Linked DNA regions of Rhinolophus ferrumequinum. The protein of the gene in region 2 interacts with the protein of the main gene of each other region in a pairwise test. Links are inferred from orthologs where the notes say so. Each region holds a gene or a part of one and is shown on either strand. Other genes may lie near its edges.

Evidence for each region.
Region 1: the proteins of BPTF (region 2) and MAZ interact in a two-hybrid assay, tested with the Homo sapiens proteins (2 studies listed by BioGRID). The link is inferred for Rhinolophus ferrumequinum from reciprocal best matches to the Homo sapiens genes BPTF and MAZ.

The regions. Positions count from the first base shown.
Region 1 is NW_022680357.1:841,696-850,053, forward strand, and holds the start of MAZ (myc-associated zinc finger protein), read left to right. Parts: upstream 1-4,867; 5' UTR 4,868-5,034; coding exon 5,035-5,226; intron 5,227-5,314; coding exon 5,315-6,165; intron 6,166-6,567; coding exon 6,568-6,631; intron 6,632-6,762; exon of another isoform or gene 6,763-6,899; coding exon 6,900-7,071; intron 7,072-7,835; coding exon 7,836-8,038; 3' UTR 8,039-8,059; intron 8,060-8,348; coding exon of another isoform or gene 8,349-8,358. Other genes in the region: kinesin-like protein KIF22, read left to right, coding at 1,209-1,377, 1,840-2,008, 2,379-2,443, 3,147-3,359, 3,456-3,515, 3,599-3,649. UniProt on the Homo sapiens protein: Transcriptional regulator, potentially with dual roles in transcription initiation and termination.
Region 2 is NC_046304.1:43,233,967-43,241,886, forward strand, and holds the start of BPTF (nucleosome-remodeling factor subunit BPTF), read right to left. Parts: upstream 3,432-7,920; 5' UTR 3,234-3,431; coding exon 2,627-3,233; intron 1-2,626. UniProt on the Homo sapiens protein: Regulatory subunit of the ATP-dependent NURF-1 and NURF-5 ISWI chromatin remodeling complexes, which form ordered nucleosome arrays on chromatin and facilitate access to DNA during DNA-templated processes such as DNA replication, transcription, and repair.

The DNA.
Region 1 (8,358 bases), on a different chromosome or scaffold from region 2:
AGCGAGCCTCTCAGGCTGTGTGTTCGAGTCCAGCCCCTCCATGACTGTCCCCGGAGCCAGCTGCTGTCCTGACATTGCCCTGCTACTACCCTCCCCCCAAACAGCTTAAGTCCCTTCTGTGTGGGTGCCCTCTCCCCGCCCCCTCCCGTTCTGATAACCCCTCCTCATGGCCCAGTTGCGCTAATCCTCAGGTCACCTGTTTGGTGGCCTTGCTTTCTATGTCTCCCTGACTCCAAGGAGCCAGTGGCAGTTTTAACTTTGCCCTGTTTCTACCCTGAGCCCAAATATAGCCTCTCTACACTGTACGTGCTACGACTCCTGAGCACAGGTGACGGGAGGCGGCCAGGGATTGGTGCACACCGGCCCAGGGGCTGTTGTAGTTGAGGAAAGAAGACATACATGAAAAGGTGCTTGTTCGCTCAAGTCTGTCTTTCCATCGTGTCCTTCCCAAGCCACTGGTCAGCAGTCCCCTCTCCTGTGTGCACAAACCCCAGGTAAACACGTACTCGCACATCTGTGTTACATGTGAGCGGGCAGGCACTCTGGAGGGGGCTCAGAGATGGGACAGCAGACCGAGTCAGACCCTGACCTCGGGCTCATGTTTCAGAAGAGAAATAAGGTTGGGCATCCGGAGATGAGGCTGGGTAGGTAGTGCACACAGGGCGGTAAGGGGAAGCCAGGAAGGGAGAAATGGCTTCTGATGTTAGCGCACATTTTCAGGCCGTTCTTCCTAGGCATCTGCACACAAAGGACAGGGCAGCCCGTCTCTGAGGAGGTAGTTCAGACTGTAGGAAGGAAGGTATGCAGCCAAAGCGGGCATCATGGGAAAGGAGACTCCGAGTGATGACTGACATCAGATGTGGGGGGCGGAGTCCAGAGGGAAGGAACAAGCGACCGGCATTATTGTGCTCAGAGGAAGTCAGGAGAAAGGGCAGCACTGAGGTCTTCGCTGGCTTTCAGAGCCCTGCTGAATGTGACCTCCTGCGAAGCTTCCCGGACTGCTCCTCCATGGACAGGCGCACAAGCCCCAAATACCTGATCTCCTGGTATCCCTGAGACCCCCACACTCCACCCAGAGCCTGGGGGACTTGCCCAGAGTTGTCCAACAAGTTAACACCAGGGTTTTGGAAGCACATAGGACAGCAGGTTAGGGCATGATGAGGGGCGATGAGAGAAGAGGTAGGTGGGGAGTAAACCTCTTTGCTCAGCCCACTACAGAAGCTAAGTAGCATGGACCCGGCCGTGCTGCAGCGCCTCCTGAGCTTGGACCGTTTGCTGGGCTCCCAGGGGACGCAGGGGACCCCTCTGCTGAGCACCCCAAGGCGAGAGCGGATGGTGCTTATGAAGATAGTGGAGGAGAAGGATTTGGAGATTGAAGTAAGTGCTGGAGAGGTGGGGGTGGGGGTTCCTATTGGCCTTGAGACGCAATCGAGGCTCTTCAGACAGAGAAAGACACTGAAAGGCTGGACCAGCATCCAGTTTTCACCCAACGCTGGACTCCCCGGTGTTTCAGCTTCTGCTTGAATGTCCTAAACAGGGCTGAACTTTGAAAAATAATTAAGATCAGATGTGAGGAGGGGAGAGGAAAAAAAATTCCCGGCTCAAATTAAGTTAGGACTTCCATGTTTCAGAGAGGCTGTTCCACCTCTGGGCAGCCCTGATCATTAGCAAGCCCTTAACTAGGCTGGGGGCCAGCTGCCTCCTGGAGGTTTCTCTCACTGGCCCCCAGCCTTCCCTCTGGGGCCTCGGAGTCCTGCACTCACTTTGCTAATCCACTGTCCTTTCAAGGTGCCCTGACGTTGGTTCTGGGTCACCTCTCTCCCTGATCCTCCCCAACAGAGGCTTAAGATGGAGCAGAAAGAACTGGAAGCCCAGGTGTTGGCCCAGAAGGCTGTGGACTCAACAGAGGGAGAGAATTGTTCTCCCCCCATGCTCCTACCCCTTGCCCGCCGCAGAGTCACAGTGGCCAAGCCCCTCCAAAAGGCCGTGGTGATGCCTCTACAACTGAGTAAGTTTGGCTCTGGGGGCCAGGAGGGCCCAGGTCACTGAGCCGTCAGGAGGGAGGAGGTGTTCGGAGCGGCAGTCCTTATGTCACTCGTGTCCTCCCCCGAGCCAACTCGGGAGCGAGGAGGAGGCTGGAAGGCGAGCTAATGCTCCGGCTCTCAGGTGCTTAGCACAGGGGCTAGGCTGACAGGTGCGTGACTGATCGTCATGCAAGACCGACGGAGATTCCTTTCAAATGGTGGATAAGAGAGAAAGGTCATGTGGAAACACAACAGTGGAGGGGAACTGGGGAATCAAATGGGGAGCCAGGTGGCTACCAGGGAGGGTGAAGGGGGGCTTCCGTAATGACTCCAGCTCCCAATTCTTGCTTTCAGTTCAGGAACAGGCAGCATCCCCCAATCCCGACATCCATATCCTGAAGAAAAACCGCAAGAGAAAGGTGAGAGCAGCTGGAGGCTTAGGCTACACGTACAGCCTAGAAGTAAGGGACAGTGTGACTCGTGGGAAGAACACTGGCCCTGGCGCTTCACAGCCTGTCACAACATTTATTAGCCATTTACATCTCTTCCAAAGGGCACTCAGGGTGAAATGCAGATAGGAGTACCTGGGCGGAGTGGTTGTCTATTACTTGTTCCTTTCCTTCCTTCCTGATGTCTCATGCTTAGTAACTACTCACTAGGAGGGTGTGTAGTCTGGGTCCTGCCCCCTACAAGCTTAGGAGCCCACACAGGAAAGCATGACTAAACACTCAAGAAATCAAACAACACTGGAAGAATTGCCAGAAACTGAGATGGTACCGTTGGGAGAGGTGCCACTTCTGGAGTACCCTCTATGTGCTTTCCTGGGGTGCAAGGCAACTTTTTGTTTGTCAGAAATGAGGGACCAGATTTAAGCTTACTGTGTGCTTTGCATTCACTCATTCGATCTTCACAGCAACTCTATTACCATTGTTCCCACGGTGGGTAGAAGGAGTTCCGTGGCCAGAAGGGAAGGGTTTCTGCACGGACACTTGACTGGAGGCAGAGAGGCTGGAGCGGGCAGGGAAGAGGGCTGCTGGCCTCCGCAGGAGTCGCGGTCTGTTGCTGTAGGCCTGCTGAGCAGCACACTGCTGTGTGGGCCACTCACCTGGTCCTGCCTCCTAGCGGGAGGACCTGGATGCCTCCGAGCCCCAGGAGAAGGCCGAGGACTGCTGGGAGCTACAGCTCAGCTCGGGGCTACTGGCCCATGGGCGCCAAAAAATACTGCAGCTGCTGAACGAGGGCTCAGCGCGGGATCTGCGAAGCCTGCAGCGCATCGGCGAAAAGAAGGCCCAGCTCATCGTGGGCTGCAGGGAGCTCCACGGCCCCTTCAGCCAGGTAACGGCCCGTGGGAGGTAGGCCTGGGACACTTGGATTTGGGGGAAGGAGCCTGGTACCCCCGACCCCCTTTCCCCATTACTGCTGTCCGGCCAGGTGGAGGATCTGGAACGGGTGAAAGTCATGTCAGGGAGACAGCTGGCGTCGTTCCTGAAGGTGAGCTCACGGCTCGGCCCCGCCCCCGGCTCGCGCCCCGCCCCGCCCCGCCGCTAACGCCGCTCTCCCTTCGCTCGTTGCAGGCGAACATCCTGGGTCTCGCCGCGGCGGGCCAGCTCGGCGGTCCCTCCTGACTACCGGCTCCGCTCTTCACTCTGCCTTTCGTTTTTTAAGTCGTTGTATAACCGCTTCTGATATAAATACAGTTTTAACTCCGCTGCTTCGGCCTGATTCTTGAGACTGGGGGCGGGGCCGGGGTACAACTGTCCCTGGGACGGGCCCCACGCCCCGGGGGTTAACTCCTCCGGCCGCCATCTTTGGGGACACGAGCGGCAGCACAGGATTGTAAATAAACCACTGGAGGGGGAAAGACGGTGGCCGACAGGAAACAAAAAGCCTACGCGGAAGCACGGGGACGACGACCGTTAGGCGGGCGCGCGCTTTCAGTTTGGCCCCGCCCCATCCGTACCCCCGGAGCGCGCACCCCTATTCTCCCGTTCGTCAACAACAGCGGTTTTGTGCGCGTGCGCGCGAAATAACGGCTGCTGGTGGAGGGAAGAGGGGGGGTGGAATCTTTGAAGTGGGGGGAGAGAAGCCGCCCCGTCTCCCGCGCGCCCACCACCTGCGCCATCGTCAGCCAATCAGCGGCCGTCTCAGGGGTCTCGCGCTTGGGACGACTCCGACGGCTGGGTGGCTCCCCCGTCCCTCCTCCCGCCAGAGTCCCTCTTGTACCTCCCCCCTCCCGCTGGCCTCGCGCGCGCTCGCGCTCGCGCCCGCTCCAGCCTCTTGTGTGTCCTCGCGCCCCCCGCCCGCCCTCCCCGCGCGCAGTGTGCTCCGCTCCCCCCACCCCCTCCTCCTTCCCCCCTCCCGCCAGCCCCGCGCGCCTCCTCCCTGGGTTCCCCCTCCCCCACTGCCGCCTCCTCCTCCTCCCGCCCCAGGGTGAGCGCGAGCCACCTCCCTCCCTCCCTCCGCCATGGATCCCGGCAACTGGAGCAGCTTCATCTTCCAGGTAACAACCCCCTCCCCCCGCCCCCCCTTCCCACACCCCCTCCCGCCCGCCCTCCCTCCCGTCCCACCCCCCCTCCGCGCGCCCGGTGCGCGCGCAGCTGTCCCCCTCCCTCCCTCGCGCCCTCCCCCGCCCTCCCCGAGGCGCCGGCTGGGCGCGCGCGCGGCGGGGGCCGAGGCTGCTCCCTCGCTCCCCCCACCCCGCCCCGCCAGGCTCCAACCGCCACCGCCGCCGCCGCCCGGGCCCCCGCCCCCGGTCGCTGGCCCCGCGGGGCCTCCCGCCCCCACCCAGGGGGCGTCGCCGCCGCCGTCGCTGCGCGTTCTGCGGCCCGCCAGGCGCCCTCCTTCCCTCCCTCCCGCCAGCCGGGGTGCGCGGGCGGCGGGGTGGCCCGAGGGCCATGCGTTCGGCGCGGCCCAGCCGGGCCGGCCGGGGGCGGCGCCCCGAGCCCGGGCCCCGCGCGGCCCGCGCCCCCGGCCCCTGCTGAGCCCTGGGGGCCCCGCCGTGGCCGAGGCCATGTTCCCCGTGTTCCCTTGCACGCTGCTGGCCCCCCCCTTCCCCGTGCTGGGCCTGGACTCCCGGGGGGTGGGCGGCCTCATGAACTCCTTCCCGCCACCTCAGGGTCACGCCCAGAACCCCCTGCAGGTCGGGGCTGAGCTCCAGTCCCGCTTCTTTGCCTCCCAGGGCTGCGCCCAGAGTCCATTCCAGGTGAGTAGGGGCCGGCCGTGGTGGGCTGCACGGGGCCGGGAGGGCGCCGACCCGCGGCTGCGGCCCACACGGCGCCTTGTCTCCGCAGGCCGCGCCGGCGCCCCCACCCACGCCCCAGGCCCCGGCGGCCGAGCCCCTCCAGGTGGACTTGCTCCCGGTTCTCGCCGCCGCCCAGGAGTCGGCCGCGGCCGCGGCGGCCGCCGCCGCCGCCGCCGCCGCCGCTGCCGTTGCCGCTGCGCCCCCAACCGCGGCCGCCGCCTCTACAGTGGACACAGCGGCTCTGAAGCAGCCGCCCGCGCCCCCTCCGCCGCCCCCGCCGGTGTCTGCGCCCGCTGCGGAGGCCGCGCCCCCTGTCTCTGCCGCCACTATCGCCGCAGCCACCGCCGTCGTAGCCCCAACCTCGACGGTCGCCGTGGCCCCGGTCGCATCAGCCTTGGAGAAGAAGACAAAGAGCAAGGGGCCCTACATCTGCGCCCTGTGCGCCAAGGAGTTCAAGAACGGCTATAATCTCCGGAGGCACGAGGCCATCCACACGGGAGCCAAGGCCGGCCGGGTCCCCTCGGGTGCTATGAAAATGCCCACCATGGTGCCCCTGAGCCTCCTGAGCGTCCCCCAGCTGAGCGGAGCCGGAGGAGGAGGGGGAGAAGCTGGTGCTGGCGGCGGAGCGGCCGCAGTTGCCGCCGGTGGCGTGGTGACCACGACCGCCTCGGGAAAGCGCGTCCGGAAGAACCACGCCTGTGAGATGTGCGGCAAGGCCTTCCGCGACGTCTACCACCTGAACCGACACAAGCTGTCGCACTCCGACGAGAAGCCCTACCAGTGTCCGGTGTGCCAGCAGCGCTTCAAGCGCAAGGACCGCATGAGCTACCACGTGCGCTCACATGACGGCGCTGTGCACAAGCCCTACAACTGCTCCCACTGTGGCAAGAGCTTCTCCCGGTGTGCACGGGGCCTCGGCCGCCCACTGGGCGGGTGGGGAGGGAGGGCCGGCGATGGAGGTGGCCTGGCCTCGCCTCGGCTGGCTGCTGGGGAGGGAGGCGGTTTGTGAGGACGGGGACTGGGAGCCCCTCCCAGGGAGGAGGGAGGCAAGCCTCTCCTGGTTACCAGGGAGCAGGGGGTGGTACTTAGCAAAAGAGGTGGGTCCTTGGGTTGTAGGAAAGCTTGGCGCGGAGGAGGCAGCCCTGCTCCAGGGGAGGGACTTCCTGTCTAAGCAGGATTCTGAAGCCCCTGGCTTGGGAGCAAATGCAGGGACCTTTGGAAAGGCCTGTTGTCCTAGGTGAGGCCGATCTGGGGGCATCTCCACACCCCAGGGCCCTAATCCCAACCCCAACGTATCCTCAGGCCGGATCACCTCAACAGCCACGTCAGACAAGTGCACTCAACAGAACGGCCCTTCAAATGTGAGGTAGGAAACCCGCTGCCTCCTGGCCCCGTGTCATGATTTTGATCCTCATTGTAGTTGTCTGAGCTCAGCCTCTCAGACCCCCTTTTTCTCTCTCTTTTTGCTTTTTCACTCCATTTGCTCATCCCTTCAAGGCCTCGTCATCTCACTCCCTTTTCCTACAGATCAAAGATCCCCAAGGCTCTGATCCCTTTAACCTCTTGTCCCCCTCTTCCCACTCCCTGAAGCTTTAACTCTCCTGACACCCCCCACACCCCTCCCCCTTCCCCAGAAATGTGAGGCAGCTTTTGCTACGAAGGATCGACTGCGGGCGCACACAGTACGACACGAGGAGAAGGTGCCATGTCACGTATGTGGCAAGATGCTGAGCTCGGCTTACATTTCGGACCACATGAAGGTGCACAGCCAGGGCCCGCACCATGTCTGCGAGCTCTGCAACAAAGGTGCGTGCCGAGGGCTGCTGGGGGGGCAGGGGACGAGGGTGGGGACAGCCAGAGGCCCTGCCACCGACGGGAGCTCATGGTGTCTAGAGCCCTCTAGGAAGCAAATGAAGCGGCACTGGGACCACTGGACATCGTTAAGTTTTAAGAGGTCATGGCTGGAAGAGACGATCTGCCAGAAAGAGGCGATTTCTGGGTGTGCGTGGGGAGAAGGGGCGTGGGCCATGGCGGCTTGGGGAAGGAGTGGTCAAGAGAGCCAGTGTCCAGGGGCGGGGGGGCAGGGTTTCGGCTCTGCAGCCATAAGTGTTCGCCTTCGGCTCGTGGGGCAAGTGGAGTACATTGGCAGGGGTTTGACAAGCACACACTCTGCCCCAGTAACAGAGAAACGGATTCGCTTACTCACTGTGTCACTGGGCTGAGAATGTATGGGGCACGAGGGAGGGGACACAGCCGTCTCTGCTGAGGGTCACCCCTTCAAGTGGTTAGGAGTCAGTGTCCGGTCACCCCAGGAGAGATCCCCCAGTTTGGAGAGAATGGGTTCTGTGGGTCTGAAGGCCAAGAAGCGGCCACTCAGCCAGGTCCCAAGTTGAGGGAGGGGCTGTGCCCGACCAGCCCCCGCAGAATAGCTGGCCCCAGGTTACCAAGGATGAGGTGGGAGGAGGACAGGGCCATCGGAGAAGGGTGTCCCCAGCCTAGGAGAACAGCCCCGTCTCTGGGGTCTCCACCTGGCTGACCCCATCCCCCATCCCAATCCCCCCCCCCCATAGGCTTCACCACGGCAGCATACCTGCGCATCCACGCGGTGAAGGACCACGGGCTCCAGGCCCCGCGGGCTGACCGCATCCTGTGCAAGCTGTGCAGCGTGCACTGCAAGACCCCTGCCCAGCTGGCCGGCCACATGCAGACCCATCTGGGGGGTGCCGCCCCCCCTGTCCCGGGAGATGCCCCCCAGCCACAGCCCACCTGCTGAGGGGGACCCCGCACCCACCAGGCAAGGCGTGGGGCATGGCTGGGGTGGTGGGCTGGTGTGTGTGGGACAAGGGGGCTCAAAGGGCCCAATAGGGGATCTCAGGAAGGCTAGGGATGTCCATCTGCCAATCACGTTAGGGAGACCTCTGGGGACAGGGAGGGCCCTTCAGGAGAACTGGGTAAGGACGCAGGTTGAAGCCGCCTGGGACCAAACAGGGAGTGAGCAACGGCTGTGTCCCAGGGGAGAGTCTGGGGCAAGGGACAAGGCTCTTGCCATTCAGACGGCGCTGTGATCTGTTGTCACCATGCAGGTACCGGTGA
Region 2 (7,920 bases):
AAAGTATACTCCTCTTTTAGTCTTGACAGTACAACAGGATTCAAATCCACCAATCGTATTTCTTCATGCACTCTTGGGATATCTTAAACCAGCCCTAGAACGTTTTTTGCTTCCAAAGCATACATACATATACACGTTACTGACAGCCTTCTTCCCAGCCTTTATTGTCTGGAAGTACAGACAAAAAAACATATGAAATTAGTGCTTTGCCAAAACAACTGTCATGGATTGTTCCTCACTGTAGGAAAGTGGATACATTCTTAAAGTTTAAAACACAAAATGTATCACCCCTTCTACCATGATCTTGAGAAATAATGTCTCAAAAAGTAAAACAACCAACAAGTTAATATCACATCCAATGAAGAAAGGAAAATGCCTGGCAAGCAATATGAAATAGCAGCTCAAAACACACTAACTCTGCTACAAAAACATTCACTATCAAAATCTAACAGGACCAATTTTCAAACTATCAAACTATCAAAATCTAACAGGACCAATTTTCAGTTTCCCAAATCCAAAACATTTAGGAGTTATGGTATCCACTGTAGCATTATCGAAACTTCATCTGTTACAAGTTCTCACCTACTAACAATCATTTATCCAACCAATCTTTGATGAGCATCCGCTACATGCATGCCAAGACACTGCGCCAGGAAAGTTAGGGGATGTAAGGTTAATATAAGGATGTATAATCTTTAATTTCATATAAAGATAGGACAAGTATACACAAGATAAACTATAAATGTCATTAAGAAAAAATGTCATGTAAGTACACAAATATACAAGTATTTTTTAAAAAAGGAAACACAAATTGTAATTTAATTCAGCATACATATGGCTACCAATCCTAAATTTGCTAGGCCTTCAAAGAGAAGTTAACATTAGCTGAACTGCCCTGCCAAAACACCTTATATCTGTGTAACCTGAAAAAAAACTGCCTGGGATCATGTAATTCAGTTTCCAGGGGTTTCAATTCTGGGCTCTTGGTACAGAAGACCACATGTGATTTCTTAAAAGTAAAAACTATTACTATAAATGACATACTAAAATTAAGTTGGCAAGAAATGAAAAGTGGCATCGTCCCTGCTACAGACAAGACAAAAAAAGTTGACACTTGATTCATTCCCTTCATTCTCCTGCCAACACCCCCACTCCACAGACAGGCAGATATTCTTACTGTCTGGCAAAAGAAATTACCTTTTTCATTTGCTGTTAAGACAATCTAAATGGAACTACACCTGGTTTAATCATCATACTCCGCCAATAAATATTTAATCATTTATAGAAAATGGAAATATTTAAATTGACTGCACGAGCAGCTATATTCTACTACGCAGTCTCTCTTAAAAAAACAAATGACACACCTTAAGATCCTATTTCCTCAAAAACTTTACTTTGTAAATGCTCTTAAAACTGGGTTCTAATTTAGTTAATCCAGATAAACAAAAATATAAAGGAAAAAAATCTTGTAGGTTATTGCTACAAGTTACGCCTTTTTCACAATTTAGTAAGATTCAACCATGTATTTAACACAAAGCAGCAATCATGTGGCTTAAAAAATAAAAACGCATCTCAGCACCAGCCTAGAGAAACTTTCTGTGAGAAAATAGGGGAGGAGTCACCATGGGGAAATTCATTACAGATCCAGGGAGGATTTTTATCCTTCGAAAAGGAATGAGAAAAAAAATTCGTTTTCTAATAAATCCCCCTCCTTCTGCGGTGTGACTTAGAAGTTGGTCCAAAAGTTCATCTTCGGCAATTGTGTCTGCATGATCAACTGTACATCTCCTGCAACAGGTGACTCGAAACTGCATTTCCCAGGCAAAGCAATGGGATCAAACTTAATTAAGACACAGGTTCCCGTGCTTCCTTACTTTTATTTTGGCTTTTCCCAAAATGACTTTGAATGGGGTGAATTACCACGTTTGTTTTGGTTTTGTTTGGTTTTCTGCTTTGCTTTTTAATCAGCCATTTACCAGCAACTGTTGCACGAGCCCATTAGCACTCAATAAAAACAAACACACAGGACCAGATAAGGGTCCCCTACTAACCCAAACTGATCCATTTCCTCAACACGATTTTAAAACCACACGGTGTGCTAGGGTGTGAAGAGAAACATGTTGTATGTGTATGTCTGTGTGCCACAACCTGTCTAAATCCTCAATTCCCTTTTAAGGAACAGATATAGAATAAAAAGCTAAAAGAAACCACATTAGAAATGCAAAGAGGTTTGCAAAACAAGAGGCTTCTTTCATTCCAAAAAAAAAAAACCAAACCAAAACAAGGGGGAGAAAAATGAATGCAATGGGTATGTGTGCCAAAGTTTCAATCCTGCCCGATGGAGACACTGCACTGGCACAAATTTTGAAGAGGAAAATGAGGGGGTTGGGGGTAGAGAAAGAGAGCAAGCGAGTGTGTGGCCTGCAAACTGCAACAATGCAATCTCCATTTTGAACAATGCGCCTCTATCCTCTGGTAAATCTCGTTTTTTGCCACTGGATGTGCCGTCGCATTTCCCCTCTGCTGGGGGGGAGGTGAGGGTGGGGGAGACCAGAGAGGGAGTGAGTAGAGGGGGAGGGTAGAGGAGGTGGGGAAGGAGTCTGCAGCAACGGGGCTGGGTGGGTACCTGGAGTGCTGCTATAGGTGCTATGGCTCCTGAAGCTGCTTTCCGTGCAGTAACTGGCGTCGTCGTCGTCGTCTTCCATCTCCTCCGGATAATCGGAGTCATCGTCGTCCTCTTCCATCTCATCTTCCTCGTCGTCCTCCGAATCCTGGGTCTCCTCGGCGTCGCCGTCCTCCTCCTCCTCCTCGGAGACCATGTCCTCCTCCTCCTCCTCCTCGCTCTCGTGGTCATCGTACACCACTTTGTTGACGGCCCTCCGGGCCGGGGTGGTCCGGGCCAGGTGGCCGCCCCCGCCCCCCGTCCTGCCGCCCCCGCCTCCTCGCCCCCCCCGGCCCGGGGCGCTGGTGCTGGGGGGGGCCGGCGGCGGCGGCGGCGGCGGCTTCCTCCGGCTACTGCTGCCCCCCCTGGGCGAGCTCAGCCGCGTCTTGGGCGCCACCTCAGCCTGGGCGGCGGCCCACCTGCCCCGACTGCTGCCGCGGTGCCGCGAGCGCAGCCCCCCGATGGGTCCGGACGTGGGCGGCGGCGGAGGCGGCGGCGGCGGGGCCGGGGCGCAGCGCTCCGCAGCGGGAGCCGCGGGCTGCTTGGGCGGCCTGCCCCGCCGGCCCCTCATGTTGGAGCCCAGGCGGGGGGAGAAGGGAAAGCGGAGGGGGGAGGGGCGGGCGGAGGGGTGGCGGTGGGGGGCGCCGGGGCCGGGTGGGGAGGCCCGCGGGGCCGGGCGGGAGGGGCCCGGCCGGCGGAAGCGGGTGGAGGGAGAAGGCTCAATCCGAATTGCTGGGGCCCCACTCCGGATCGCCTTCAGCCGCCATCTTGTTTCTTCCCTCTCGCTCGGTGACTGGGGGAACCGACAGCGGCCGCAGGCCCGGAGCGCGGTCACGTGAGCTGCGCCGCCGACGAGCCTGGGACGGAGCGAGGCCGCGCGGCGGCCGCTAGGGGGAGCGCGGGAGCGCCGGATCGGGGGCGGGGAGCCCGGGACGCCTCCGCGCGGTGCGGCTGCACCACAGACGCAGGCGGCACGGACCCGAGGGGCGCTCCCCCGCGCGAAGTGTCCCGCGCCAAAGGTCTCGGTGACGACTGCCTCCACGGAGCCCCCGCTGGAGCCTGAATTTAGCAGGGCCTCCTTCCCGCGTCTCCCCCCGTCTCCGACTCGGAGGGAAGGGAAGGGGAACCCCCAAATGTATCCCCCTCCCGCCCCCATGGGGGAACTGATGCTGAAAGAGCCAGAGAGGGTATTGCGGGGGGAGAGGGGTTAACTAGAAGGACCGAGGGGGGATAGAGCAGGTCCTGCGACGGAGGGAAATTAAGAGGGGGACGGGGCGACGAGCCCCCAGAAATGTGAAACTCCGAAGGCTTGATTCTGGAGTCCTGAAATTGATCCCAATGACAACTGCTGGAGGGCTGTGCCAGGAACCACGCCCTGGGCCGCCAGACCCACAGGGAGTCACTCCGAGACTCCTTAGTTTAGAATCCCCACCCGAAAAGCCTCGGATAAACTCCGGAACGCCAGCTACGTCCCAGTCTCCTCCCACCTTTCCCAGGACCCCGGCTAGAAAGTCGGCCACCTCAGCAAGAACTCCCAGTTTCTCGTTTGCAGTAGTAGAAAGGGTGACTTCTTGCCTAAAACCTACTTCAAAATGCATGTTTGTGTTATCAGGAAGTAATTTTTTTTACCTGAGAAATCATCAGGTCTCGGCTTAGCCCAGGGGACTGATCAAGATGATGAATTTTTAGCCACCCCCTCAACCAAACCCGGGGCATTCAGCTCGCCATGGTCAAGGATAACTCTAAATAAGAAAGGTTTTATAAACAATATTTACTGATATATGTGACTACCCAAGTTTCTTCCCTATCACTAAGTGGCTTATTAGTCATTAGAAAGAAAGGACTCTGCGTGTATGAAATGAAAATACAAGCATTAATTGCTAAATTAATTTATTCCATATATTTCACCAAGGGTGACAAACATACGCCTTCAGGGACCAGGTAAGTAATGAAATTTCATAAAGTGAGTGAAAACTTTGTCAAATGGAAGTGCCTGTGTTTTGTTTTAAGAAGGAAGTTGTGGGAATGTGGGCCTAAAATAGCCAGGTCGTCAAATTTTTCAAGAGAAGGTGGAAATGTGCACTGCATATGAAATCTCACGATTTTTAAGTGTTGGCCATTAGGTCAATTTTTTATAAACACTTCGGATTGATCAAAATAAATGCAGTTCAAATATATGGCCCAGAGTCTACAAGTTTGCAACCTGTGTCCTACACTATGTAGTGCCGTGTACCATAGGGAAGATACTAGAAAGAAATGGTGACAGCCTTCTGTGTTCACAAACTAATAGTGGAGGAACCTGTTTATCAGAAAAAATTATGACAGATGGCACAATGAAAGGTATATTATTTGGAGTTTCTAATTGCAAGCAACAGAAAGTGACCCTGGCTCATCTAAACAGAAAAGAAACTCATGAGAAGGATATGGACACCTCCAGAATTGCTGGTTCCAACAATAAAGGGGATCCAAGCTCTCCAGCTGTTATCTGCTCCTGACTCAAGAGCTGTGTATTCCATGGGCCGTTCTACTTTTCCGTAAAGTGAGCTCCTTCTGGTTATTGGGGTCCACAATGGGGCTAGTGAATCTGATAGGACAGCCAATTTCTTCTTTCACTAAAGTTAGTGCTGTGGTCCGATGGACTGAATGTTTGTGTCCCCCACCAAATTCCTACTCCCCAATGTTGAAACCCTACTCCCCAATGTGACGGTACTAGGAGGTAGGGCCTTTAGGAAATAATTAGGGTTAGATGAGGTCATGAGGGTGGAGCCCTCATGATGGGATTAATGCCCTTCTAAGAACAGGAGAGAGCTTGCTTAGAGCTTGCCTTCCCTCCCTGCTCTCTGCCACATGAGTGTATAGTGAGAAGTTGGCCCTTTGCAACGCACGAGTGCTCTCATCAGAACCCGACCAGGCTGGCACCCTGATCTCAGACTTCCAGCCTCCAGAACTGTGAGAAAGAAATGTCTGTTGTTTGAAAAGACCCAGTCCATGGTAATTTGTTGTAGCAAATAAATATCTAATGTTTATAAGCTATCCAGGCTAGGAATATCTGTTATAGCAGCCTGAACTGATTGAGACAGATGCCATGATGTCTAAAATACCATGACGGCAAACAAGGTATTCAGTAAACTCACGTAGGATGGTGGGAAAAGCAAATCCTCTTCCCAATGAGGTTGATTCACTGTACCCACCAGGATAGCAAGGAGCCACTATAATGATGAATGCCGAATGGGCACTCAGCAGTGGCAATAGCCAGGTCAGCCTTGCCAAGGAGAAGCCCATGATCGTCGTCAGTTCACGACCCCAGTCAGCAGACACTGGCCTGACTAGGGAAGGAGCTGGACCTACTTCCATAGGATGGGTCTTCTTGTCCCCTAACATTAAATCTTCAGCAGTGGGAACATTAGGATAACTATTCACACAGAACACAGCTACTCTCACTTTCTAGGTCTGTTCTGAGAGTTTCACCTACATCCACGCCCAAACCTCCTTTTCACCAACCTGAATCCCTGACCACCTCGCCCATGAACTGGTATAGTCTTTCTTGAGGCGAAGAGAACCGTAAGAGAACAACTCAGAGCTCTGCCCACTGGGAAGATTTCCTTTTCCCACGGCCCTTGCAAGGCCACTTGCAAGTATAGCTATAACACCTTAGCAGTCCCCTCCCAGCTGATACTATCTGTAAACCAAGCTCAAATGTCCTCCTTAGTCACTTGGTCATGGGAGTTTTCCATAATGTGAATTGAGGGAGGGGTGCCAGTAAAATGAGAGTGAACATACTGGGAGTTGCACGCCTGTGCCTTCTACAGGACCTACTCAGAGCTGCTCTTCTATATCCCATGTCTTCTTGGGGAAGGGATTGCTACAGGGCATTTTATGGCTAAGTGGGACAGATACTTAATAAGATACTTAATAAGACAGTTCATAATAAGCCAACTAAGTTACATGGTCACCTGGTAATCTGTGGTCAGGGTTCCAATCTTTGTCCAGGCCCAGGAGCAATTTAAGAACAGTTTATAAAAAGGAGAGTGGTTATTAGCCAAAGAGAGCCAGGCTTTGCTCTGAAACCCTGAGTACAATCATAGTGATGCTCTTTGGGGGGCTTGTCATGGGCTTTGTACTGCATCCCAGCATGTGGCCGCACACCGAGCACTGGATACACCGGGTCCTGGGGACCAACCAGCAGAGCACCGTGCATGCAGCCTGGACCTGCTGAAGAAGCTTCTCCTGCTCTGTGCTGTGGCTCAACGTTAGCAAGCTTTCAGGTCACTTGGAAAATGGGTTAAAGCAGCACATACCAATGTGGTATATGTAGTCTTCTAAATCCAGAGAGAGCTGCCAAGTATCCAGCACTGTCAGAAACCACCGCACCCCACAGTCCTTGAATTCCTCACATCCAGTATAGTTCTATGGCTTACAGCCACTCACTCTTCTAAAGACTTGCCTTTAATTCCAAAAGACACGGGTGTTTCATTGAATTGTTTTGCCACTAGTTGATATAGGGTGTTTAAGTCTCATACCTCAACACTAGATGCATTTTCCTTACCATCACCCTCAAAAGACTAGACAGTCACAGACCACGCCCACCCCATTTCCCTGAGACCTATGGCCTACAACCACTCTGATTCCAATTTCTGTTATCAGTTTGGTTCTTGGTTGCAAGTCACAGAAACCCATGCTGAGTCCTTTAAGCTCACAGGATCTCTGGGAGTGCCCCAAAACCAGGCTCTGAGGCTTGCAACCAGGAAGTGTCCAAAATCAGATTACAGAACTAGTGAGGACAGCACGCTGTTACTGCCGGGCACCAGGCCCAGCTTGTCCTGGCAGCATCACCCCCCTGGGCACTGGGCACTGCTCCACAGCACTGCTAGCTTCCAGTTCGAAGGCCGAGGGGGATTGCTGAGTACAGGGTCGAGCTGCAGGGAAGGTCAGGATGGTGAGTACCTGGCGTTCAGCTCCCATCACGTGGAGGATTCCTTCAACCTGAGGGGATTAGGTCGGATGGGATACGACACACAGAGAGGGAAGTCAACAGGAGGCGACTTGGACTTGGGTAACTTGGAGAGTGAGAGCTCACAGACCTGCAGTTAAGACTCATAGTCACCACGGGAGCTGGTTTAGGAAGGAAGTGATCAGCTCTGTGACCTTAGTCAGGTCACCCAACCCTGATTGAGCCCCGGTTTCCTCACGAATAAGTTAAGGGAGTTGGGTCAGAGCTGTATTTTCTAACCCTTTCACCTTATAGCACCCAATGAAAC